Anolis sagrei: one gene and its partners. The main gene of each other region encodes a partner of the protein of the gene in region 2 in a complex. Links are inferred from orthologs where the notes say so. Each region holds a gene or a part of one and is shown on either strand. Other genes may lie near its edges. The genes, in order: CLXN, ODAD4 and ODAD3.

Evidence for each region.
Region 1: ODAD4 (region 2) and CLXN share a complex: the UniProt entries of both Homo sapiens proteins name them as parts of the outer dynein arm-docking complex. The link is inferred for Anolis sagrei from reciprocal best matches to the Homo sapiens genes ODAD4 and CLXN.
Region 3: ODAD4 (region 2) and ODAD3 share a complex: the UniProt entries of both Homo sapiens proteins name them as parts of the outer dynein arm-docking complex. The link is inferred for Anolis sagrei from reciprocal best matches to the Homo sapiens genes ODAD4 and ODAD3.

The regions. Positions count from the first base shown.
Region 1 is NC_090026.1:102,547,509-102,555,718, forward strand, and holds the start of CLXN (calaxin), read left to right. Parts: upstream 1-4,552; 5' UTR 4,553-4,622; coding exon 4,623-4,680; intron 4,681-5,877; coding exon 5,878-6,033; intron 6,034-6,279; exon of another isoform or gene 6,280-6,529; intron 6,530-6,565; exon of another isoform or gene 6,566-8,210. Other genes in the region: protein FAM133B, read left to right, coding at 314-409, 755-799, 2,663-2,749. UniProt on the Homo sapiens protein: Component of the outer dynein arm-docking complex (ODA-DC) that mediates outer dynein arms (ODA) binding onto the doublet microtubule. Seems to regulate the assembly of both ODAs and their axonemal docking complex onto ciliary microtubules.
Region 2 is NC_090026.1:44,925,314-44,933,621, reverse strand, and holds the start of ODAD4 (outer dynein arm-docking complex subunit 4), read right to left. Parts: upstream 3,675-8,308; 5' UTR 3,641-3,674; coding exon 3,527-3,640; intron 1,930-3,526; coding exon 1,798-1,929; intron 1-1,797. UniProt on the Homo sapiens protein: Component of the outer dynein arm-docking complex (ODA-DC) that mediates outer dynein arms (ODA) binding onto the doublet microtubule. Plays an essential role for the assembly of ODA-DC and for the docking of ODA in ciliary axoneme.
Region 3 is NC_090022.1:163,757,997-163,766,075, forward strand, and holds the start of ODAD3 (outer dynein arm-docking complex subunit 3), read left to right. Parts: upstream 1-4,660; 5' UTR 4,661-4,998; coding exon 4,999-5,083; intron 5,084-8,079. UniProt on the Homo sapiens protein: Component of the outer dynein arm-docking complex (ODA-DC) that mediates outer dynein arms (ODA) binding onto the doublet microtubule. Involved in mediating assembly of both ODAs and their axonemal docking complex onto ciliary microtubules.

The DNA of each region.
Region 1 (8,210 bases), about 58 Mb from region 2:
CATTTTACTCTATGTTTTACCAATAGCTTTTGCATTTCTCACCTTTGGCTTATACTTGAGTCAATAAGTTTCCCAGGTTTTTGTGGTAAAATTCGGTGCCTCGCTTTTACATTCGGGATGGCTCATACTCAAGTATATACAGTAATCCATAAAGAAATTAAAGTACTAAATACTGTTATCAGGGTGTTTTACACTGAGCATGGTAAAGGTCTCTGATTTGTCTGCATTTAAAACCGCCTTGAGTCACCTTAGGACTGATAAAGGTGGTATATAAATACAGTAAATAAATAAATGTGCCTTTTGTTGTATCTAGGATACCAAAAGTCTTAGCAGGAAAAGGAAAAACACAGATCGTGGGGATGGCTTATTATCGTCGGAGTCTTCATCAGAATCTGAGCATTCGGAAGAGGTTGGTATACATACAAAAAGCACTGAACTAGTAAAACAATACCTGGAAAGTTAAGATCTCAGTCATGTGCATTCCTGGAGATGAGAAATGATTTTTCCTTTTGTATCTGCCACTCCAGACTAAATTTAGAGGATCGTTATATGATTGTAGCTGCCCTGGCACTGAAGTGAAGCAGTGTTCAGTATCTACTTTTTTTAACTGAAAAATGGGAGATTGGTAAATAGAAGAAATTTTAGAGAGCATGACGTGGTTACTATGTAGTATGGTAGTGTGTTATTTTTCTGTTTCAGCATTTTTAATACCTATTCTGTCCATTAAATGTTTGTTTCATCATTTTTCCCTTAGGTACAAGCAAAAAAGAAGAAGAGCAGTGAAGAAAAAGAGAGAAATGTAAGCATTATTCTGTTACTCCAAGACATCAAGGCCGCTTCTATACTGCCATATAAAATCCAGGTTATTTCCTTTGAACAGGATTATATGGCAGTGTAGACTCATATAATTCAGTTCAAAGCAGATAATGTGGATTATTTGGTAGTGTAGAAGGAACCTAAGACAGTATTAATTGTGCTGCAACAAACATCCCATTCTCATAACAGTAATTGCTCTGAGATTTCCCAGTGTGAGAGCAGAATTATCTGACTAAATGAATTTCCATGAAAGAACAGAAATAAGTAATAGAATAATAGAACTGAAAGAGATCACAAGGGCCATCTAAATACAATTTTGCCCAATTTTTGTTGTGGACAGAACCCCGCATTTACATAAGAAAACTTCTGCTTCTGTCAGGGGGCTTTCTCTTCGTAATCTTTTCTGAGATCTACTGCAGGGTGTTCCCTCACTTTCCACAGCAAAATTTTAGAGGCACGTGGAGCACTATAGTAGTAGTAGTAGTAGTGCTACTGGGGATATTCCCCCTTTTCTTTCAGCTGATAGAAGCAGTTCTGATAGTGGGTTATCTTAGTTGGATTCTACCTTTTGGGTTTGGAAGTCCTGGCTGTTAGGGAAAACTACCCTAAAATATACAGCAGAGCATCCAAAAACAAACAGGATACAAAAGTAGAGCATCAACTCATTACCAAGCAGAGTGTGAAGTGCCGTTGTTTGTGGCTGTAAAGCAAGCATCCTCAAACTGCGGCCCTCCAGCTATTTGGGCCTTCAATTCCCAGAATTCCTGACAACTGAACAAGCTTGTTAGGACTTCTGGGAGTTGGAACCCTAAACGGCTGGAAGCCGGCAGTTTGAGGATGCCTGCTGTAAAGAATGTAGAGCTTAGGCAGGCAAAGATGCAGAGCCCGATCTTAAAAAAAAAAACAAAAAAAAACACACACACACACAAAAGGTTTATTTACAATAATAAGAAATAACTGCATTTCTTAATAGTTAAGAAATGGGTCTGAGCTACTCTAACACCCATCTCTTCTAAGGTTTCAAAGAGAGAGAAAAATCATCGAAGCAGTATATCTCTCTGACACACAAGCAGAGAGAGATCTCAAAGCACATATGGATATGAGATGATGACTCAGATTTTAGATGGTTTTTAATCTGTTTGTATTTTAATCTGATATGTATTTTAATTGCTTATGTGTTTAGATCATTTTATATTTTGATTAGATGTCTTTTATTGTTTATCTGTGCGGCATTAAATGTTTGCCAGATTTGTAAGCTGCTTTGAGTCCCCTGCGGGGTTGAGAAAGGCAGGGTAGAAATGAAGTAAATAAACATACTCAGATGTAAGAAACAGAAGTCAGATTTTAAAAGGCTTTCAGTAGAAAAGTATCCATTCTGCACAACTAATCAGAATGAGTGATGGAAGGAAAAACCCCAGAGTATTCTAAGCTAACTAAACTGTTCCTCCTTGAAAACTAGGGCAAAGTGGGGTTGAATTCCAACATCTGCATGGTAATAAAGATGAAAATAATGGTAAATCAGAATATTTGAAATATTGATACTATCCTTGCTTTGGAAGGGTGTTTCAATCAAGGTGCCCTGAATTTTATATAGAGATTTGTTTGAAGCTAATATTGTATTGGGGCCTTGCAGATACAAAAGGATTTCTTTCTTAGAGAACCAGAGCGTTATGTTCATGTAAACGAATCTCCTTCGTACCTGTAGCTCTGTTGCTAAGCATTCTTAAAGTTGAATGTGGCCTTGGTTGATTGTTTTTTAAAAGCACATAATACCTAGCTAGCCCAGAATTTGACTCATTTGGTTCCAGCATCCTGTAATTGTTTCTGATATTTCTCTTTTTCAAAGGATAAAACAAAAAAGCGAAAGAAACACAAGAAACATGGCAAAAAGAAGAAAAAGAAGACAGCTAGCTCAAGCTCTCACTCAGAATAACACCAGTCAAGAGTCTTACTTTCCTTCTCAAAAAGTGCAATGAGTCTAGAAAGAACTGCAACTGTGAACATTATGATGAACTCTACCAACTGCATGAGCTCTTCTGTGTGTGAACAAAATATTCGACACTTTCAGCTTGCCTGGTGCCATTGGGCTGGACATAGCCATTGATGTTGCCTGATGCTTAATATATTACATGTACTACCCTCCCCTCCAATAGCTTGTGTGGAATGTTTTGAAATAAGTCCTACAGAAGGTTTAAATGATTCAAAAGCAGAATCAGATTGGATTGATAAAATGTTTTTTCTCGTTACCGAGTTTTAATGCACACATGTAGCTCTTACAACCAGGTGTCATCCTGTGTTGCAAGGAAAAGAACGTATTCACATATAAAAAAACTGCATGTGGATAAGCTTCATGAGCTATAATAAATGAAGCAACACTTTGTGTAGGCCTCAGAGCTCCTGGTGGATCCATAAGCAAGACCAGGTTTGGGGCATTTCCTTTTTAACCCTCTGGCAATGAAGATTTTCATGATGAAGATTTTTTGCGAAATCCCTTCAAAAGTGATAGTATGGCATATCAAATCCTATGACATTTTTGTTACTATTGATGCCATATTTGAAACGAGAACATACAAGTAACACCCAGGTGTTACTTTTGTACATATGTGTTGTGTAGTTTTGCTCCCACTTTCTCAAGTGGGACATGGGGTATTCATGCCTTCAAGGATTTAGAGGGCATATCTTGATCTTTGCAAATAGCAGTGTTTGTTGAGACTGTCGATGTGCTTCCAGAGGTGTTTTCAGAAGCCTTTTTCTTCTGAGTGCTAGATTCCCTGCGAACCTTTCCTATGCAGGCCTCATTAAAAGCAATGGGAATTGCAGAAGAGCAGTTGCGTCAATATTATTCAGACAACGATAGATGGGTCGCCATGTTACTTTGTTTATGTAGCTGCCCCATTCATGTGTATAATTATGTCATTCTTGTCCTGTTCCTGTGCTTTATGTCTGAACAACAGGCAACACATCTGGCTACTCATTCCTATCTAGTTTGGTTCTCAGTTTATTCGATATACGTAGCATAAGCTGCTAGCAAAAACACCAGCCTAATGCAGCATCAGAATGTGATGCTTTTACTCCTATTGATTTAAAATAATACTGAATACTGTGCTAATAATACAGATAACCATTAGTTGAAGCGATGTTAAGTTTAACTGAACTTTTCCTGACATTTGTTTTCTTCAATTGTGATGTGTGTCATTTAAGGCATTTAGAATTGCATGATTTTGTACCATTTTAAACTTAATAGGGGGGGAAAAAACTGTCGTAATCAGTGGGTTTTTAAAAATTATGTTCCGCATAACCGCATTACTTACAGATATGAGTTCCTATTGCATACGTGCTTATGTTTTAAGCGCACCCTTGCTGAAGATATTTAGCATGTACAAAGCTGAGGTGACTTCAACCAGCTTCATATTGAAGCTGATTTTAACTTGACGCAAGTTCAGTGGCAGAACCTTGTTATGCAAACCTATGTCTCGGTATACAGAATTACTGCCAGACACTTAGTAAAAATCTGTTTTAAAAGGTTCCCGCCTCTCTTGATTCTATGTGTGTGTTTTGAGCAACTGTGGGCAAAGTTGGGCCTTCCTTCCAGGTGTTTTGGACTTCAACTCCCACCATTCCTAACAGCCTACCTCAGGCCCCTTCCCTTTCCCCCTCCGAGGTAGGCTGTTAGGAATGGTGGGAGTTGAAGTGCAAAACACCTGGAAGGACGGCCCAACTTTGCCCAGGCCTGCATTCTATTCTTGGCCGCAGGGAGGCCGGAGTCCTCCGTTGCCACGGTAACCTCCGGCCGCACAGAGCTCAAGATGAACAGGAAGAAGCTGCAGAAACTAGCCGAATCTCTCTGCAAGACCGCCAAGCACTGTGAGTGAGCGCGAGGCAGGCCTCTCGGGTTTCTTTCATGCAGACAGGACCCCTATCTTACCTATTTCCACATCCATACTTTGCAGCCGTTTCCTTCGTCCATTTCTCCCTCCCTTGCTTTCCCCCATTCACCGTCCTTCTTCCCTGCCTTTTCTCTTCCCTTCCTTTTGCTTTCTTTCCCCTAACCTTCCTTGCTGTCCTCCTTTCTTTCCTCTTTTCTTTCTTACCTTCTTCCCTTGATTTCTCTTACACCTTCCCCGCTCTTCTTTCCTTCCTTCTTTTCTCTTCCCTATTCTTTTCCCTTTCTCTTTCCTTCCCCCCCCATATGATTTCCCTTTTCTTGTTTTACTTCTTTTTCTTTAATCCCCCTCTTTTTCTTTCCTTCTTTCCATTCTTTTTTTTCTTTCTTCCTTCAACCCCCCTCTTCATTCCTTTCTTTCTTTCCCCCTTCCTTCCTCTCTCCGTCTCCTGATACATAAGTCACCTAGCAGTAGCCTATCTGCTTCACTCCCTTTCTTTCCCAGTCACATTTCTTTTGCCATGTCAGGAACAACTTGAGAAACTGCAAGTCACTTGAATTGGCTGTCTGCAAGGACGTTGCCCAGGGGACGCCTGGATGTTTGGATGTTTTACCATCCTTGTGGGCAGGGGCGGCTCAACCCATTACACAAAGTAAGCATTTGCAGTATAGTTGATTTTGCCCAGGGGCGCTCTTGAGGCGCTCTTGGGGGAAAATAGACCTTGACATATGCGAGTTGTATTTACTGGGATGTATAGTTCACCTACAATCAAAGAGCATTCTGAACTCCACCAATGATGGAATTGAACCAAATATGACACACAGAATTCCCACAACAAACAGAAAATATGTATCAGTGATTGGTTTGTGGGGGGGGGGGGGGCAAAATACTGTTTGCTTACCATTGAAAATTACCTAGAGCCGCCTCTGCTTGTGGGAGGCTTATCTCATATCCCCGCATGGAGAGCTGGAGCTGACAGAGGGAGCTCATCCGCACTCTCCCCGGATTCAAACCTCCGACCTGTCAGTCTTCAGTCCTGCCGGAACAAGGATTTGACTCACTGCACCACCGGGGGTTCCTTTCCCAGTCACATGACAGAAAGCCACTTCACCTAGCCACAGGCAATTGGCAGTGTTCCTTTTTTCTGTTTTAATTATCATAATCACTTGTTTCATAGTCAATAAATTTGAAGTGGAATGCCTCATAAAGCTTTTCAACCAGTTGGAAGTGGAGCCCAGCGACAGATACGCTGGTATTGGTTTGGATCGCAACTCGTTTCGAAATATTCTTCATGACACGTTTGGAATGACAGACGATATGATAATGGACAGAGGTGAGATTGAATACCTTCTTGTAAATCTTAAATACAGGCACTTCCCAAGTTACAAACAAGATAGGTTCCGTAGGTTTGCTCTTAATTTGAATTGGCATGTAAGTCTGAACAGGTACATTTTTAGGTGTTAACAACCCCAGCCAAATTTGTTGTTTATTCATTCAACATAAATGGGCTGGCAGAACGTTGGATAAGTGAAAATGTTGGATAATGAGGGATTAAAGGAAAAGTCTATTAAGCATAAAATTACATTATGATTTTATAAATTAAGAACCAAAACATCACGTTTTACAACAAATTGACAGAAAAAGCAGTTCAATACACAGTAACGTTATGTAATAATTACTGTATGTATGAATTTAGCACCAAAACAGACAAGAGGTCTTTCTTTCACCCTTGACATTATTCCAGGTGGGAGGCAGACTGTGTTGGATAGTACAGAACATTGGATGAGAGACTCTACTGTATTAGGTTCATATAGCATAGGGAACACCACCTCTGTGGTGTTCATTTTGCCGCCTGTGCCCCTCACCTCACTTTCTGTTCCTGTGATCATTGGAAACTTGGGTTTGTTGTGCAAACAAGGACACATTTTGGTGCCTCAAATGCTAGGCCTTTTCCCTGGGTGTATTTGACCCGATTCCAAAAATGGCACCATTTTCCCCTGTCAGCTCTGGTTTTTAAGATACAGATCATATGCCACATAGCAGTTGTCATCTGCTCACCCATAGAAAATTCTGATAATCGTATCTAAGAAACCAGATCTGATGAGGTCTATCCAATGTAATTTTCTGAATAAGTGCCCCAAATAACCCAAATAATTCAGTGTGTCAATATTCACACCAAATTGCATTAACATAAAATGGAGAAGAGTCATTTATATTAGACATATTTACACCATCTCTTATTGAGCTAGTCTCTGCCATATAGGGCAATGGGTTGTTGTAGGTTTTGGGGCTGTGTTGCCATGTTGTAGAAGCATTCTCTCCTGATGTTTCGCCTGCAACTATGGCAGGCATCCTCAGAAGTATTGAGGACTCACATAGATACAGGTGAAATGTCAGGAGAGAATGCTTCTAGAACATAATCACACAGCCTGAAAAACCTACAACAACCCAGTGATTCCAGCCATGAAAGCCTTTGACAATATATATAGGGCAATATACGCCATGACAAGCATGTTTTTATTGCTGTGATGAGGCAAGCAAGATGACTAACTGCTATGTAAAGCACAACACAACTGTTTAAAATGTCACCAGAAGCTATGGGTATAGAACTCCATAAACATGTTTTCAAAACTCCCACTTGGTGACAAAGAATTACTTCCAAATCTGGCAGAGATCCAGAGTTGCTACTTTAGGTTTTCAGGGGCTTGAAAAGGCTTACTGGGACTTACTTTCATTTTGAATATATGATCTACCTTGCATGCTATATTGGAAAATTGTTTTTGAAAGTCTCATAGTTTAAAAGGAATTGTGCCACAAAATTGGGAATAACGATCTTTTAAGTGCTGAGTTGTTCTCTTTCTTTCTCAAAATAATTTAAAAATAATTTTGCTGGTTGATGTATTCGATAGGGCAATGAATAAGGATGTTGTTCATTATTAATTGCAGGGGATGCTTTCAAGACTAGAGGGTGGTTGAACAGCATTGGAGTTGATAGGAAAAATAAATCGAAAGCTTTGAACTTGGGACTCCTGCCTAGCTTGAACACATATTCCAAAACTGAATGCTGCTTCTCGTTTCAGAGTGGAGAGGCAGAAAAATGCTTTAAATATGCTCAGAGGCATTCAAAATAAATATATCCAGTTTAAGAATGCTCCTGTTTGATTCAGTAGTGATTGCTCTGAAATGGAACAGTAACCTTTAAGTAGATGGAACACATTATTATTATTACACATCACAGCAACCCATTATTATTTATTTTACTTTTCTAATCCAGACCTACAATTCAGTATTTTGAATGTCAATAAAAACATATATGTGAACATGGATTAAAAAAGGTAAATATCAATGGCAAAAAAAAATGAGATTCCAGGTGCCTTTCCAGTTATGGTGGAGGAATTCAGCAAGAAGCGATAGGCAAAGAAACAGTGACAAGAATTGGGGCAGTTTTTGCACTCCTCCTTGGTGAAAATACATGGACTACCAATGGCCACCAATGGCTACGAAGAATGC
Region 2 (8,308 bases):
TGATCGCTGAGCACAGATGAAGGGCAGCTTCTCCTTTCTGTCTTCACCTTTGCAACTTTTATCTATCCTGAAGGGAGTCCTATCAAAGAATTCAACTCTGATTCAACTGCCCTAAGTAAAGGTAAACATTTCCCCTTGACATTAAGTCTAGTTGTGTCTGACTCTGGGGGGTGGTGCCTATTTCAATTTCTAAGCCAAAGAGCCAGCGTTGTCCATAGACGCCTCCAAAGTCATGTGGCTGGCATGACTGCATAGAGCGCCACTACCTTCCTGCCAGAGCAGTACCTATTGATCTACTCACATTTGCATATTTTCGAACTGCTATGTTAGCAGAAGCTTGGGCTAACAGCAGGCTCACCCTGCTCCCTGGATTTGAACCACCAAACTTTCGGTCACCAAGTTCAGCAGCTCAGCGTTTTAACCTGCTGCACCACCAGGAGTTCCCTCAACTGCGCTACTGAATCCCAAATAAATGCTGCATACAAAATATTTTTTTCTAAACCAGTTGGTAGCTACACTTTGTCCTTTGTGGGATGATAAAGTTGGGAGTCCAACTGCTGCTCTGGGTCCAGAGTGAAGAGAGGGCTAGGAAAACAGTTCCATCTTGTCTCCTGTGCTGTGCTTATAATGTAATATAATATATTGTATATACATATAATATTGATAATATTATAATGTAATCCCAGTAACTACAACTTTATATTGCATGTAATATTACTAGTAATATTACATGTAATTTTATTAGTAATATTGTAGGTGAACTACAATATTACTAATAATAGATGAACTATAAATCCCAGTAACTACAACTTTATATTGCATGTAATATTACTAGTAATATTACATGTAATTTTATTAGTAATATTGTAGGTGAACTACAATATTACTAATAATAGATGAACTATAAATCCCAGTAACTGCAACTTTATATTACATGTAATATTACTAATAATATTACAGTATAATGGTGTAGACCAATATAGTAATATACAGGCTGAGGCAGCATAACTTCATTTTTCAAAATGTGCGCCATTCAGTCGGTTGAAGACGTAGCAGAGCACTAATGGTCTTGTTCGAGAGGCGGAAGTTTTGTGCTGACACAGTTCAGTCACCATCATGCGTCATGGAACATCATGGAACAGTGAGGAGCGTGCTTTTGCCATTGAGCCCTACTTTTCGAGTAGATTTGGAGAGGCCGTCCCACTCTCCAGATTTGGCCCTTTATGATTCTTTGCTATGGGTTTTTTTAAAATCCCGGGTTTATGTGAACCGTCCAAGGACCCTACAAAATTTGACGACCAACATCCAGGAAGAAATTGCCAACATAACGCCTGCTATGCTGGCAAGAGTCATGACAAATGCTAGAAATCAGTTTACTCAATGTATGGATAATGGAGAGTGGGGGATGTCACCTACTTAATTTGATCTTCAAAACTACGTAAAACAAAACTTTAGGTATGTGCCTACATTATTAAAAAAAATAAAAAAATTCTGAGTCATACAATGGGTTTTATTAAGTTTTGAAAAAAGGAAGTTATGCTGCCTCACCCTGTATAATACTAATATTATGCTATGTTATATAATATATTGTATTTACATATTACTTGTAAGCTGCTCTGAGTCCCCTTCGGGATGAGAAAGGCGACATATAAATGTCATAGGTAAATAAATAAATAAATAAATAAGGAGAAAAATATCTATAACATCTTTCACATAATTCATCCAAAAATTCCTTAATGAACTGAGTAAGAGAGCCCTTAAGATTAAAGTAAGCCTCCTGATCTACTAGTTGCCCACCTTGGTAAATTCCTTGTCAGCTGCCAGCGAGTCTTCTGCATCCCTCAAGGCATTTTCCGTATCTCCTAGTCTTAGGTAGCACTTTGAGCGGGCCACAAGGCAGTTCCTGTCTGCTGGCTGGAGCTGCAGGGCCTAACAAACAAATATATGGTATTCACCGTCAATGGTATTATCACAGTAGCTAGCTGACCATTCCCTTTTCTTCTGCCTTTCACAGATGACAACAGAGATATCTTATGGTTCTCACAACTTCAAAAGGTGTACTCCCTCCAATATTGTGTTGGAGTTGGGTGCCACCTCTACGCAGATGACGCCCAACTCTACTACTCTTTTTCACCTAACTCCAAGGAAGCCCCTCGGGTGCTGGATGAGTGCCTGGCCGCAGTGGCTGTCTGGATGAGGATCAATCCTGAAGATCAATCCTGACAAGACAGAGGTCCTCCAGATCTGGGTATAGGGTGGCAACCTGTGTTGGATGGGGTTGCACTCCCCCTGAAGTCACAGGCCCGCAGCTTGGGTGTTCTCCTGGACTCATCACTTACGCTTGAAGCTCAGGCGTCGGCGGTGGCTGGGAGGGCCTTCGCACAATTAAGACATGCGCCAGCTGCGACCGTACCTCGTGAAGGTGGATCTGGCCAGGGTGGTTCATGCCTTAGTCGCCTCCAGAATGGATTACTGTAATGCACTCTACGTGGGGCTGCCCTTGAAAACGGCCTGGAAATTTCAATTGGTACAATGGGCGGCAGCCAGGTTGTTAACTGGTGCTCCTTACAGGGAGCGGTCAATCCTCCTGTTTAAGGAGCTCCATTGGCTGCTATTCATTTTCCGGTCCCAATTCAAGGTGCAGGTGCTTACCTACAAAGCCCTAAATAGTTTAGGACCCGCCTACCTGCGTGACCGCATCACTGTGTACGAACCCATGCGATCTCTTCAATCATCTGGAGAGGGCCTGCTCACACTCCTGCCTCCATCGCAAGTGTGATTGGTGGGGACGAGGGACAGGGCCTTCTCTGTGGTGGCTCCTTGACTCTGGAACTCACTCCCCAGGGACATCAGGCATGCCCCAACTCTGGCAGTCTTTAGGAGGAGACTGAAAACGTGGCTGTTCCAGTGTGCCTTCCCGGAATAAAGAAATAATTCCCAGCAAAATGCCCTTACCAATGCACTTTAACTACTGGATTGCGTTGGACTGCGCGCTCACTTCTTAAAACCCTCCTTCCAGATATATTCCACCTTGTTCATGCCTAGGGTTATTTTTAAATTTTAAATTACTACATTTGGCCCGGCCATAGGTTTTTAATCCTTGTGTGTTGTTGTTATATGTGATTTATATTAATTTGTATTGCATTGTATTGTTTTGTTTATCACTTTTCTGTTTTATTGTTGTGTTATTGGGCTTGGCTTCATGTAAGCCGCTCCGAGTCCCTTGGGGAGATGGTGGCGGGTATAAATAAAGTTTCATTATTATAGTTTTATTATTATTCTTAATGTTTTACAGTGGCACTACTTTAAACTAAATTTCAACTCTCATTGCCATGGCGCAATGCAATAGAATCCTGGGATTTGTAGTTTGATGAGGCCCACACACTATTTGGCAGAGAAGGCTAAAGGCCTTCCAAAAGTACACCCACATAGCATTAAGACTTGGCACTTAAAGTGCTGTCAAACTGCATTAATTCTACAGTGTAGATGCCCCCTTGTTCTCCCGTCCCTTCCCGAATATTCTCACGTAGGTGTAGCAGGCGAGGGCTTTGGTAAGCTCTCCTCGCTGGCTGAGCATCGTCCCTTCCGCCATGAAGCTGGGGAAGGTCCCCCGCAAAGCGTCGCCCTCCGAGTCCACCATCCTTAGAGCTGGCAAGGCCGAGGAGGACGCTGCAACGTTGCTTGGCAACGCGCTGCTTAGCAACGCCAGCACTTCCGGAAACCCAACGGGTCCTCGGAGGAGTCAAAAAAGTTGAGCAACGCCAGGAGGCGGCTCCTTTGCGTTGGCTGTCTTATAGTTCCATCCCTTCCCATTGTTGCACTCCCGCCAAAATGTGATCCTTGCTTTCTCTTTGGCTGTCCTCATTACTAATAGAAATCAATGAGACAACCAATATCAACCAAATCAATCAAACTTTAGAGAGTTGTAGTTGCTGGGATATATAGTTCACCTGCAATCAAAGAGCATTCTGAACTCCACCAATGATGGAATTGGGCCAAACTTAGCACACAGTTCTCCCATGACCAACAAAAAACACCAGAAGGGGTTGATGGGCACTGACCTTGAGTTTAGAAGTTGTAGTTCACCTACATCCAGAGAGCATTGTGGGCTCAAACAATGATGGGTCTGGACCAAACTTAGCAGGGATACTCAATATACCTAAATAAGAACACAGATGGTGTTTGGAGGAAATAGGCCTTGACATTTGGAAGTTGTAGTTACTGGGATTTATAGTTCACCTACAATCAAAGAGCATTCCGAACCCCACCAACGACAGAATTGGGCCAAACGTCCCACACAGAACCCCCATGACAATTAACTGTTTATTAATTGTGTAATGTGTTAGGTTGTTAACTGTTTCTATACTGTAGCACTGAATTTTTGCTGTTCGTATTTGTTGTGAACCGCTGTGAGTCGCCTTCGGACTGAGAACAGCGGTATATAAGTAAGGTAAATAAATAAATAAATGACCAACAGAAAACAGAAAAGACCATCCAGTCTAACTCCCTTCACCAGGGCAAGAAAACGTAATCAAAGCCCTCCTGACAAAGAGGTATTCAGCCATAGAGATAGATAGATAGATAGATAGATATGATTCACACATAGATATCATAGATTTGAAAGGGACACCCCAAAATGGACAATTATATGTTCCATGTTCCCGAGTAGGCAAACCAGACAATCTCCACATCAACACTGACAAAGAAACAGCAAGAAATACTGTTTACCCACAAGCATAAAATTTTACATATATTAGAAACCATCACTTTCTCATTACCTTATTTTTCAGATCACCAGACTGCAACGCAGTTGCATGTGACGTCTGTAGACAGTCCACGTTTCGCAGGCATATAGCAGAGTTGGGAGGACAATAGCTTTATAAACAAGCACCTTGTTATCCCTACAGATGTCCTGGTCCTCAAACACTCTGCTTCATTCAGAAAAATGCTGCACTCGCAGAGCTCAAGCGGTGTTGTATTTCGGTGTCGATGTTGACTTTGGTGGAGAGGTGGTTGCCAAGGTAGCGGAAATGGTCAACATTTTCTAATGTTATACCACTAAGCTATATCTCTGGCATTGGAGAGGGATTGGCAGGTGACTGCTGGAACAGCAATTTGGTTTTCTCGATGTTCAATGACAGGTTGAGCTTCTCGTATGCTTCTGTGAAGGTGTTTAGAGTGGCTTGTAGATATATATTTGTATTAGAGATCGGTGTTGCCATATGTGTTCCCAGGGCAAGTTGATTTGTGTATATATTATAATTTTTTATCCTACTGTTCAGCCTGCAAGGCCCAGAGTGAATTTACACAGCGCCTGTAGGAACAACAATGTGTCATTAAAATAGGAGCCAATTTGCAGAAGCAGCAGTTATACCAGTTCCCGTCTTCCTCCGCTGCCCACAAGGCAGTTACAGTAATGGGCTCTGTGAGGTGAGGAGAAATCCAGTCCCAGCTTGATGAGGTAGCAGCAGGTTCAGAAGATGTGAAGGAAAGTTTGTTTTGCTTCTGTCTTTCTTTTTTCCGGTTCATAGCGCAGGTGGATCTAATGGCTCATAGAAGAGAAGGAGAGACCCAGACATGGTGTGATAGATCAAATGCATGTAGAGGCAACAGTGGCGCCAGTTAACTCCATTCACTCCTTTCTTTTTTTGCGTTGGAGCAGCTGCCTGTCATCAAAATGAGCAGTAAGATTTCCTTCCCTAAAGGCAGGTCTTGTGTACAACATTTGGGAATAAGTTAAATAATACACATTTTAATTGAAGAGGTAACTTCTAAAGGATCTTTAACTCAAGAAGAAAAAAGGATCTAACTGCATTATTGCATGTTGCATACTTTACTTACTTACTTAGGCAATCTCTTGTTGTCCGAGTAAGATTGTCTTCCCAGTTCAGTGAACTGGCAGTGGGTCCGTATTTGACTGTGGAGCCCTATTCTTGATCTGCATGTTCTCCCGCAGTGAGGGCCTTGGTTTCCAGGTGGAAGGCAGTCCCAGTCAGGGTTGGCTTGATGTGCCTTCCTCTTGACACGTTTCTCTCTTTCTCTCCATTCGTGCCTCTTCAAATTCTATAGCACTGCTGGTCACAGCTGACCTCCAGCTGGAGTGCTCAAGGGCCAGGGTTTCCCAGTTCTCAATGTCTATGTCAGAGTTATTAAGGTTGGCTTTGAGCCCATCTTTAAATCTCTTTTCCTTCCCACCAACATTCCATTTTCCATTCTTGAGTTCAGAGCAGAGCAACTGCTTTGGAAGACGGTGGTCGGGCATCTGGACAATGTGGCCGGTCCAGCAGAGTTGATGGCAGAGAACCATCGCTTAAGTGCTGGTGGTCCACCTGTCTTCCCAAGAGATTTGCAGGATTTTTCAAAGGTAACACTAATGGAATCGTTTCAAGAGTTGCATGTGATGTCTGTAGATAGTCCATGTTTCACAGGTGTACAGCATGTTTGGGAAGACAATAGCTTTATAAACAAGCACCTTGGTATCCCTACGGATGTCCTGGTCCTTAAACACTCTCTGCTTCATTTGGAAAAATGCTGCACTTGCAGAGCTCAGGCAGTGTTGTATTTCGGTTTCAATGTTGACTTTTGTGGAGAGGTGGCTACCAAGGTAGAGGAAATAGTCAACATTTTCTAATGTTACACCATTAAGCTGTATATCTGGCATTGGAAAAGGGTTGGCTGGTGACTGCTGGAGGAGCACTTTGGTTTTCTCAATGTTCAATGACGGGCCAAGCTTCTCGCATGCTTCTGCTAAGGTATTTAGAATGGCTTGTAGGTCTTCTTCTGAATGCACGCAGATGACGTTGTAATCAATATATTGGAGTTCTATAACAGATGTTGTTGTAATCTTGGTTTTGTTGCATATTGCACAGGATGAGTAGTATGCCAATTGGCTTAGGAAGTGTAGGGGGAAAAACAAACTTTAGAAATGGCAAAATACCTGGAACCCACAGTATGAGCTTGAGTCATGTGATGGGCTCCATAAGTAGCTGTTTCATAACTGTGTTGAAAAGCTGGTTTTATTGCATGTGATGAAGTCCTTAGGGTGGCCCTAAATCTAAAGTTTAGTGTGAGAGCTGGGTAAATGAGTAGTGACTGACAGCTTCCAAATTAGTGGGCACTGAATCCATTCATAACCTGCAATTCTGTCCAATGTACTACATCCACTGTGGTTAATGGTTTGAGCACTGGGCTATGACTCTGGAGATGAGGGTTCAAATGTCCTCTAGGCTATAGAGTCCTAATAGGTGATCCTGGGCACGTCAGCCTTGGAGGAAGGCAATAGCAGACACCTTCTGAACAAATCTTACCACGAAAACCCATGATAGGTTCACTTTAGGCTTTCCATAACTAGGACAAAATAGGTTCAGCACCTTAGACAGCTCCTGCAGTGAACTGGGCCTCTGTAAGTCTTTGGGCAATCATGCCACCTTCAGCACAACTTACTACAATTAAAGCTTATTCTGGAGCATTAACATATGTCAGCATTTGGCAACAAATTTTGAGGGAGGCCTGAAAAGACACCCAATTCAGGAAGAAGATTGCCTGAGGACCAAAATAGGTTGAAAGCCACCCTAAAATAGGAGCAGATTTATTGCTCCATTGACATGGGAAATAATAATAATAATAATAATAATAATAATAATAATCTTTATTTATACCCTGCCACCATCTCCCCACTGGGGCCTTGGGGTGGGTTACATGAGGCCATGCCCAAACAACAAATTACAGCAGAATAAAACCAAAAACACAAACAATAAACAACAACATAATAATTACATAAAACATATGAATGCATAATGATATAAAATTACCATAAACACAATCACAATGACAGTGGGCGGGCTACTTTTTTTTTCCGTGTCAGGAGCATCTTGAGAAACTGCAAGTCGCTTCTGGTGTGAGAGAATTGGCCGCCTGCAAGGACATTGCTCAGGGGACGCCCGGATGATTTGATGTTTTTATCATCCTTGTGGGGGGCTTCTCTCATGTCCCCGCATGAGGAGCTGGAGCTGATAGAGGGAGCTCATCCGCCTCTCCCCAGATTCGAACCTGCAACCTGTCGGTCTTCAGTCCTGCCAGCACAGGGCTTTAACCCACTGCGCCACTGGCGGGCTACATGTAATGATTAAAAGAAAAACTAATTAAAAACTGATTAAAAACTCGGGTGAGATAAGGGGAAGCAGGTTATTTGCGGAGGAGGGCTCATTAAAACGGGGGTTGTGGTATCAAGCTTTCCCACAAAGGGGGGGGGATGTATACTATAATATACTATAATATTAATATAATATTAATATATAATATTAATATA
Region 3 (8,079 bases), on a different chromosome or scaffold from region 2:
TCCAAATCTTTGCTTGCAGACCTAAATAGTGTATGTGGCAACTTCAGGCATGGGTTAAAATAATGACCTATGCTTATGTATAGAAGTAATATTTAAACTTGAGGTATGCATTAATTTTATGAACATTTATTTTTTGAAAATCATAGAGAGGAAAGAGTGTAATATCTATATTTTTTATAATTTAATTTAACATAGTTATTGTAGATGTACATAAAACACAGCTTTCCAAATTGTATTATGACACATTAGCATGTCAGTTGTAGGATGCTGCGTGAATGTAACACGAAATCTCTAAGGCTGGATCAACACTGTCACATAATCCAGATTATCAAAGCAGATAATGTGCCTCATTACCAACAGACCTCACCACCTCTGAGGATGCCTGCCATAGATGCAGGTGAAACGTCAGGAGAGAATGCTACTGTAACATGGCTATGCAGTCCAAAAACTCACAGCAACCCAGTGATTCTGACCATCAAAGCCTTCAACAACATATAGTGTGGTTTTGCTAATCACGCAGATTAATACATACGCAGTTGTTTAATTGAATACACATACATTTCTTAAGTAATTAAACAGAACTACAGATTAAGCAAAAAGTATAGAATCAAGACTATTGTGTGTTTTAAATCTATTTTATTGGCCCTGCCCATTGTGTTTGACTTCTGTGTTTCAAACGTCGTGATTTTATATTATTGATGTGTTATTTATAATTGGTTTTGTATTGTATTTTTATTTTTACAATTTACTGCTTGTTGTTGTTGTTCATTCGTTCAGTCGTCTCCGACTCTTCGTGACCTCATGGACCAGCCCACGCCAGAGCTCCCTGTCGGCCGTCACCACCCCCAGCTCCTTCAAGGTCAGTCCAGTCACTTCAAGGATGCCATCCATCCATCTTGCCCTTGGTCGGCCCCTCTTCCTTTTGCCTTCCACTTTCCCCAGCATCATTGTCTTCTCTAGGCTTTCTTGTCTCCTCATGATGTGGCCAAAGTACTTCAACTTTGTCTCTAGTATCTTTCCCTCCAGTGAGCAGTTGGGCTTTATTTCCTGGAGGATGGACTGGTTGGATCTTCTCGCAGTCCAGGGCACTCTCAGCACTTTCCTCCAGCACCACAGCTCAAAAGCATCGATCTTCCTTCGCTCAGCCTTCCCTAAGGTCCAGCTCTCACATCCGTAGGTGACTACAGGGAATACCATGGCTTTGACTAGGCGGATCTTTGTTGCCAGTCTGATGTCTCTACTCTTTACTATTTTATCGAGACTGGACATTGCTCTCCTCCCAAGAAGTAAGCGTCTTCTGATTTCCTGGCCACAGTCTGCATCTGCAGTAATCTTTGCACCTAGAAATACAAAGTCTGTCACGGCCTCCACGGTTTCTCCCTCTATTTTCCAGTTGTCAATCATTCTTGTTGCCATAATCTTGGTTTTTTTGACGTTTAGCTGCAACCCGGCTTTTGCGCTTTCTTCTTTCACCTTGATTAGAAGGCTCCTCAGCTCCTCCTCGCTTTCGGCCATCAGAGTGGTGTCATCTGCATATCTGAGGTTGTTAATGTTTCTTCCAGCAATTTTCACCCCAGCTTTGCATTCATCCAGCCCCGCACATCGCATGATGTGTTCTGCATACAAGTTAAAAAGGTTGGGTGAGAGTATGCAGCCTTGCCGTACGCCTTATATTGATGTATTGTATTGCTGGACTTGGCCTCATGTAAGCTGCCACGAGTCCTCTTGGGTAGATGGACTCGTGGGTAGATGGTGGCGTAGATGGTGGCGGGGTATAAATGGGTAGATGGTGGCGGGGTATAAATGAAGATTATTATTATTATTATTATTATTATTATTATTATTATTATCTGAATATGGACTCTTGATACCCCAGTCCAAAGCAGATAGTGTGGGATGTATTGCCTTGATATTCTGGGTTACATGGCTGTGTGGAATGGCCCTAAGTCTCTTCAATATGATCCAGTTCAAAGTAGATAATCTGGATTGTATATGGCAGTGGAGATGGGGCCTCAATGACTGTGTCGTGAGATGCTGCGTGTCATCAACGTGAAATGTTTGGAAAGCTTTGCAAATGTTTGGAAAGCTGTTTAAGGAGCTCCACTGGCTGCCGTTCATTTTCCAGTCCCAATTCAAGGTGCAGGTTCTTACCTACGAAGCCCTGAACGGTTTGGGACCTGCCTACCTGTGTGACTGCATTTCTGTGTACGAACCCACGCGATCTCTTCGATCATCTAGAGAGGCCCTACTCGCGCTCCCACCTCCTTCGCAGGCGCAATTGGTGGGGACGAGGGAGGGGGCCTTCTCGGTGGTGGCCCCCAGGCTCTGGAACTCACTTCCCAAGGACATCAGGCACGCCCCAACTCTGGCAGTATTTAGGAGGAGCCTGAAAATGTGGTTGTTCCAGTGTGCCCTCTCAGAATAAGGAAAACTCTCAGCAATATGCCCTCAAAATGCACTTTACCATTGATTTAGGACCGACTGCACTCCCTCAGTTCTCTTTGAAAACCCTATACCTGTTATATCCTACCTTGTTCATGCCTAGCGTTATTTTTTAAATTTTAAACTATTACATTTGGCCCGGCCATAGGTTTTTAAATGCTTGTGTGTTACTGTTTATTGTTTATGTGATTTATATTAATTGTATTGTATTGATTGTTTTTGTTATTGCCTTTGTTTGTTGATTTACTGTGGGCTTGGCTTCATGTAAGCCACACTGAGTTGCTTGGGGAGATTTATTTATTTACTTACTTTATTTATATACTGCTTTTCTCAGCCCTCAGGCGACTCAAAGCGGTGAACAACATCGATACAAAACATCACGAGACAAGTATAGGGCAATTAAAAACAATTGTAACATAAATCATTAAACATCAGTATAACAATCATTAGCGCCTCAACAGTAAAATCAGAATCCAGTCTCATCATCCATTATTCCGTATTTCTATTCCGGTGGCACAGTGGGTTAAAGCACTGAGCTGCTGAGCTTGTTGACCAAAAGGTCACAGGTTCGATTCCAGGGAGCGGTGTGAGCTTCCACTGTCAGCCCTAGCTTCTGCCAACCTAGCAGTTTGAAAACATGCAAATGTGAGTAGATCAATAGGTACTGCTCCGGCGGGAAGGTAACGGCGCTCCATGTGGTCATGCTGGCCACATGACCTTGGAGGTGTCTATGGACAACGCTGGCTCTTCGGTTTAGAAATGGAGATGAGCACCATACCCCAGAGTCAGACATGACTGGACTTAATGTCAGGGGACAACCTTTACCTTTACCTATGTATTACACTGTTTAATCAAATGCTTGTTCGAACAGCCAGGTCTTCACTTTCCTCCAAAACGCCAGCAGGGAGGGGACCGATCTGATATCTGCAGGCAGAGTGTTCCACAGCCGAGGGGCCACCACTGAGAAGGCCCTGTCTCTCATCCCCTCCAAGCGTGCCTGTGATGCAGGCGGGACCGAGAGCAGGGCCTCCCCAGATGAAATTAGTGTCCTAGTCGGTTCATAGGAGGAGATGCGTTCGGAGGGGTAAGTTGGGCCAGAACCGTTTAGGGCTTTATAGGCTAACGCCAGCACTTTGAATTGTGCCCGGTAGCGAACAGGCAGCCAGTGGAGCTGGCGCAACAGAGGAGTAGTATGCTCCCTGAGTGCCGCTCCTGTTAGCAACCTGGTTGCCGAACGCTGGACCATTTGAAGCTTCCGAGCAGTCTTCAAAAGCAACCCCACATAGAGAGCGTTGCAGTAGTCTATATGGGATGTAACCAGAGCTTGGACTACCGCGGCCAAGTCAGACTTCCCAAGGTACGAGATGGTAGCGGGGTAGAAATAAAGTTTTATTAATTATTATTATTATTTTGTCGTGTCAGGAGTGTCCTGTTGTGAGAGAATTGGCCGTCTGCAAGGACGTTGCCCAGGGGACGCCCGGATGATTTTTAATGTTTTATCATCCTTGTGGGAGGCTTCTCTCATGTCCCCGCATGAGGAGCTGGAGCTGGTAGAGGGAGCTCATCCGCCTCTCCCCGGATTCGAACCTACGACCTGTCGGTCTTCAGTCCTGTCGGCACAGGGCTTTAACCCACTGCGCCACCGGGGGCTCCATATTATTATTATTAATTATTATCAATTATTGTTAATTATTGTTATTATTGCAGTTAGTATATTGATGTAATTTTCTGTAGTTGTGGCATTTGTTAAGCTTTTTTTGTGAGCCCCTTTTCTTTTTGTATAACCAAAATGTATCTTTGCATGTAGTTAAAACATATATGTTGATACATCAAACTGGAAATGAATGGCCCCCGTGCCGTGCCTCCCCCTCCGGCTCTGGTGGCGGCTTCTGGCCCACCTTCAGCCCGGAAAGGCAGCCCCACTTCCCTCTTCTCGGCTCCCTCTGCCCCCTTTCCACCCCCTCACGGAGCCTTACCCTCAACCGGCCACGGAAACCCGCGTGGAAAACGGTCCGAAGTTCACCCGTCCGACGCCGGAAGCAGACGGCAGGACATCCGCCTCTGAGAGAAAGGAAAAGAGGCGGAGATTGCTCCTTCCTTCCCGCTTGTGCTTCTCCCGGCGCCATTTTGAGCGAGGCAACAACATGCCACTTCCTCGGGCGGCCATCTTGAGAGTGGCGGAAAATGCTTCTGCTGATTGGCCGCGGCCAATAGGTGCTTTGCATCGCAGCCGGTCACCATGGAGACGGGCCCAGCTTAAGGATGCTGAGGCGCTGCTGAGCCAGATGCAACCTGGCAGAGAAGGAAAGGAGAAAAAGAGAAGCCTGGCAGAAGCACCAAGGAAGCTATGCAGCAGAGGAACAGACTGTTGTAGAACCTTTTATTTTATTTATTCCCCCCCTATCGATCACAAGCACCATTTCCCTTGTTGGCAGCACAATTCCTGCAGGGTTGCCAATGGTTGCTGCAGACTAGTGACTTGCCATCAAGTCAATACAGTGTCGCCCCTCCTCCACCTGCTTCACCTTCTCCAGCTTTTGACTACCTGCCACTACCATGCCTGTGACAGAGGCCCAGCAAGGAATAAAGCCCCCCGTCCATGAGCAGATTGCAGATCTCCAGAAGAAGATACAGCTGCTAGGTAAGGCCTGCTCCAAAGGTGGAGGCCCCTTCCACACAGCTGTATAAAATCCACATTATACTGGATTGTATGGCAGTGTGGACTCAGGGCCCTTTCACACAGCCGTACCTTGGGAAGTCTACCTTGGCCACGGTAGTCCACGCTCTGGTTACATCCTGTTTAGACTACTGCAACGCTCTCTACGTGGGGTTGCCTTTGAAGACAGCTCGGAAGCTCCAACTAATCCAACGCTCGGCAGCCATGATTTTAACAGGAGCGGAGCGCAGGGAGCATACAACCCCCCTGTTGCGCCAACTCCACTGGCTACCGATCTGCTACCGGGCTGAATTCAAAGTGCTGGCGTTGGCCTTTAAAGCCCTAAACGGTTCCGGCCCAAGCTACCTATCCGACCACATCTCTGCCTATGAACCCACCAGGACTTTGAGATCTTCCGGGGAGACCCTGTTCTCGATCCCGCCTGCTTCTCAAGCTCGGCTGGCAGGGACGAGAGATAGGGCCTTCTCGGTGGTGGCTCTTCGGCTGTGGAACGCCCTTCCTACGGACATTAGACTAGCACCATCTCTAATGGCATTCCGCAAAAAGGTGAAGACCTGGCTGTTTGAGCAGGCGTTCCAATAATTAGTGCAATGATTGGTTAATGAACACTGGAATGGAACAATGGATGACAAATCTGGAACATGTTTTTGATGACGAGACGACAGTGAATGGGTATTGTAGTAACTGTTTATTAATTGTGTAATGTGTTAGGTTGTTAACTGTTTCTATACTGTAGCACTGAATTTTTGCTGTTCGTATTTGTTCTGAACCGCTGTGAGTCGCCTTCGGGCTGAGAACAGCGGTATATAAGTAAGGTAAATAAATAAATATAACCCAGAATATCACATTTCTTATCTTGGCACAGTTCATAGAGCAGTTGTTCTTTGGCAGCTGACATGCTTTCAATGTTGATTGAGATTATTGTCATGGTTGGTCCTGAAAAGGTCCGTTGGTTGTTTTGCTTGCTTGCTTGCATGCTGCAAGTTGCTTCTGAGGTGAGAGAATCAGCCGTCTACGAAGACGTTGCCCAGGGAACGCCCGGATGTCTTGCAATCCTGCGAGGAGGCTTCTCTCAGGGAACACCTCAGCAAGCGAGAGTCCAAAAGTGGCAGGCTCAAACCCAGCACCTCAATCCGTGGGTGATACCAGATGAGAGACTCCCTCCTGGGCACACAGAAGACTGGGCGACTTGGAAGGCGCTGAACAGACTGCGCTCTGGCACCACGAGATGCAGAGCCAATCTTAAGAAATGGGGCTTCAAAGTGGAATCCACGACATGCGAGTGCGGAGAAGAGCAAACCATTGACCACATGCTGCAATGCAACCTGAGCCCTGCTACATGCACAATGGAGGAGCTTCTTGTGGCAACACCGGAGGCACTCCAAGTGGCCAGATACTGGTCAAAGGACATTTAATCAACTACCAAGTTTGCAAAATTTGTGGTTTTTTATCTGCTTGTTTGTTTTGTTCTGTTAGAAATGTAATACAATGGTATGGTTGCTGATGACACAATAAATAAAGCACTTCAACCAATGGCTGATACCAAATGAGAGACTCCCTCCTTGGCGCACAGAAGACTGGGCGACTTGGAAGGCGCTGAACAGACTGCGCTCTGGCACCACGAGATGCAGAGCCAATCTTAAGAAATGGGGCTACAAAGTGGAATCCACGACATGAGAGTGTGGAGAAGAGCAAACCATTGACCACATGCTGCAATGCAACCTGAGCCCTGCTACATGCACAATGGAGGAGCTTCTTGTGGCAACACCAGAGGCACTCCAAGTGGCCAGATACTGGTCAAAGGACATTTAATCAACTACCAAGTTGGCAAAATTTGTGGGGTTTTTTCTGCTTGTTTGTTTTGTTCTGTTAGAAATGTAATACAATGGTATTGTTGCTGATGGCACAATAAATAAATAAATAACCCAGATATCAAGGCAGATAATCCTACAATATTTTTTTATTATTTATTTACGACATTTATATGCCGCCCTTCTCACCGCAAAGGGGACTCAGAGCGGCTTACAAGGTATATATACATACAATACACTATACTATTAGCATAGTACAATACTTAGGCAATCCCTCGTTGGACAAGTAGGATAGTCTTCCAGGATCAGTATTCTTGAGGATCCGTAGATGACTGTGGAGCCCTATTCTTGATCTGCATTTTCTCCCACAGTTGAGCGCATTGGTTTCCAGGTGGAAGGCGGTCTAGGGAAGTAATGCTACCCCTCTATTCCGCTTTGCTTTGACCACACCTGGAATATTGTGTCCAATTCTGGGCACCACAATTGAAGAGAGATATTGACAAGCTGGAATGTGACCAGGGGAGGGCGACTAAAATGATCAAGGGTCTGGAGAACAAGCCCTATGAAGAGCGGCTTAAGGAGCTGAAGAGAAGGCTGAGAGGAGATATGATAGCCATGTATAAATATGTGAGAGGAAGCCACAGGGAGGAGGGAGCAAGCTTGTTTTCTGCTTCCTTGGAGACTAGGACGCAATGGAACAATGGCTTCAAACTACAAGAAAGGAGATTCCATCTGAACATGAGGAAGAACTTCCTGACTGTGAGAGCCGTTCAGCAGTGGAACTCTCTGCCCCGAAGTGTGGTGGAGGTTCCTTCTTTGGAAGCTTTTAAACAGAGGCTGGATGGCCATCTGTCAGGGGTGATTTGAATGCAGTATTCCTGCTTCTTGGCAGGGGGTTGGACTGGATGGCCCATGAGGTCTCTTCCAACTCTTTGATTCTATGATTCAATGAAACCTTTTTTCAGCAAACGTTACCAAGAAAATTACACCAAACTTGGAAACAACCGAATGGCAAAAAACAACAACAGCAAGCTGTCTTCTTGATATGGGTTTTAGCAGGCTTCAGCCCCCCCCCCCCCCAAATTCTCATGGTGGTTCGCGAAAAGGCCTTATTGGTGCATTATTTAAACTGTTATGTTTATTCATATC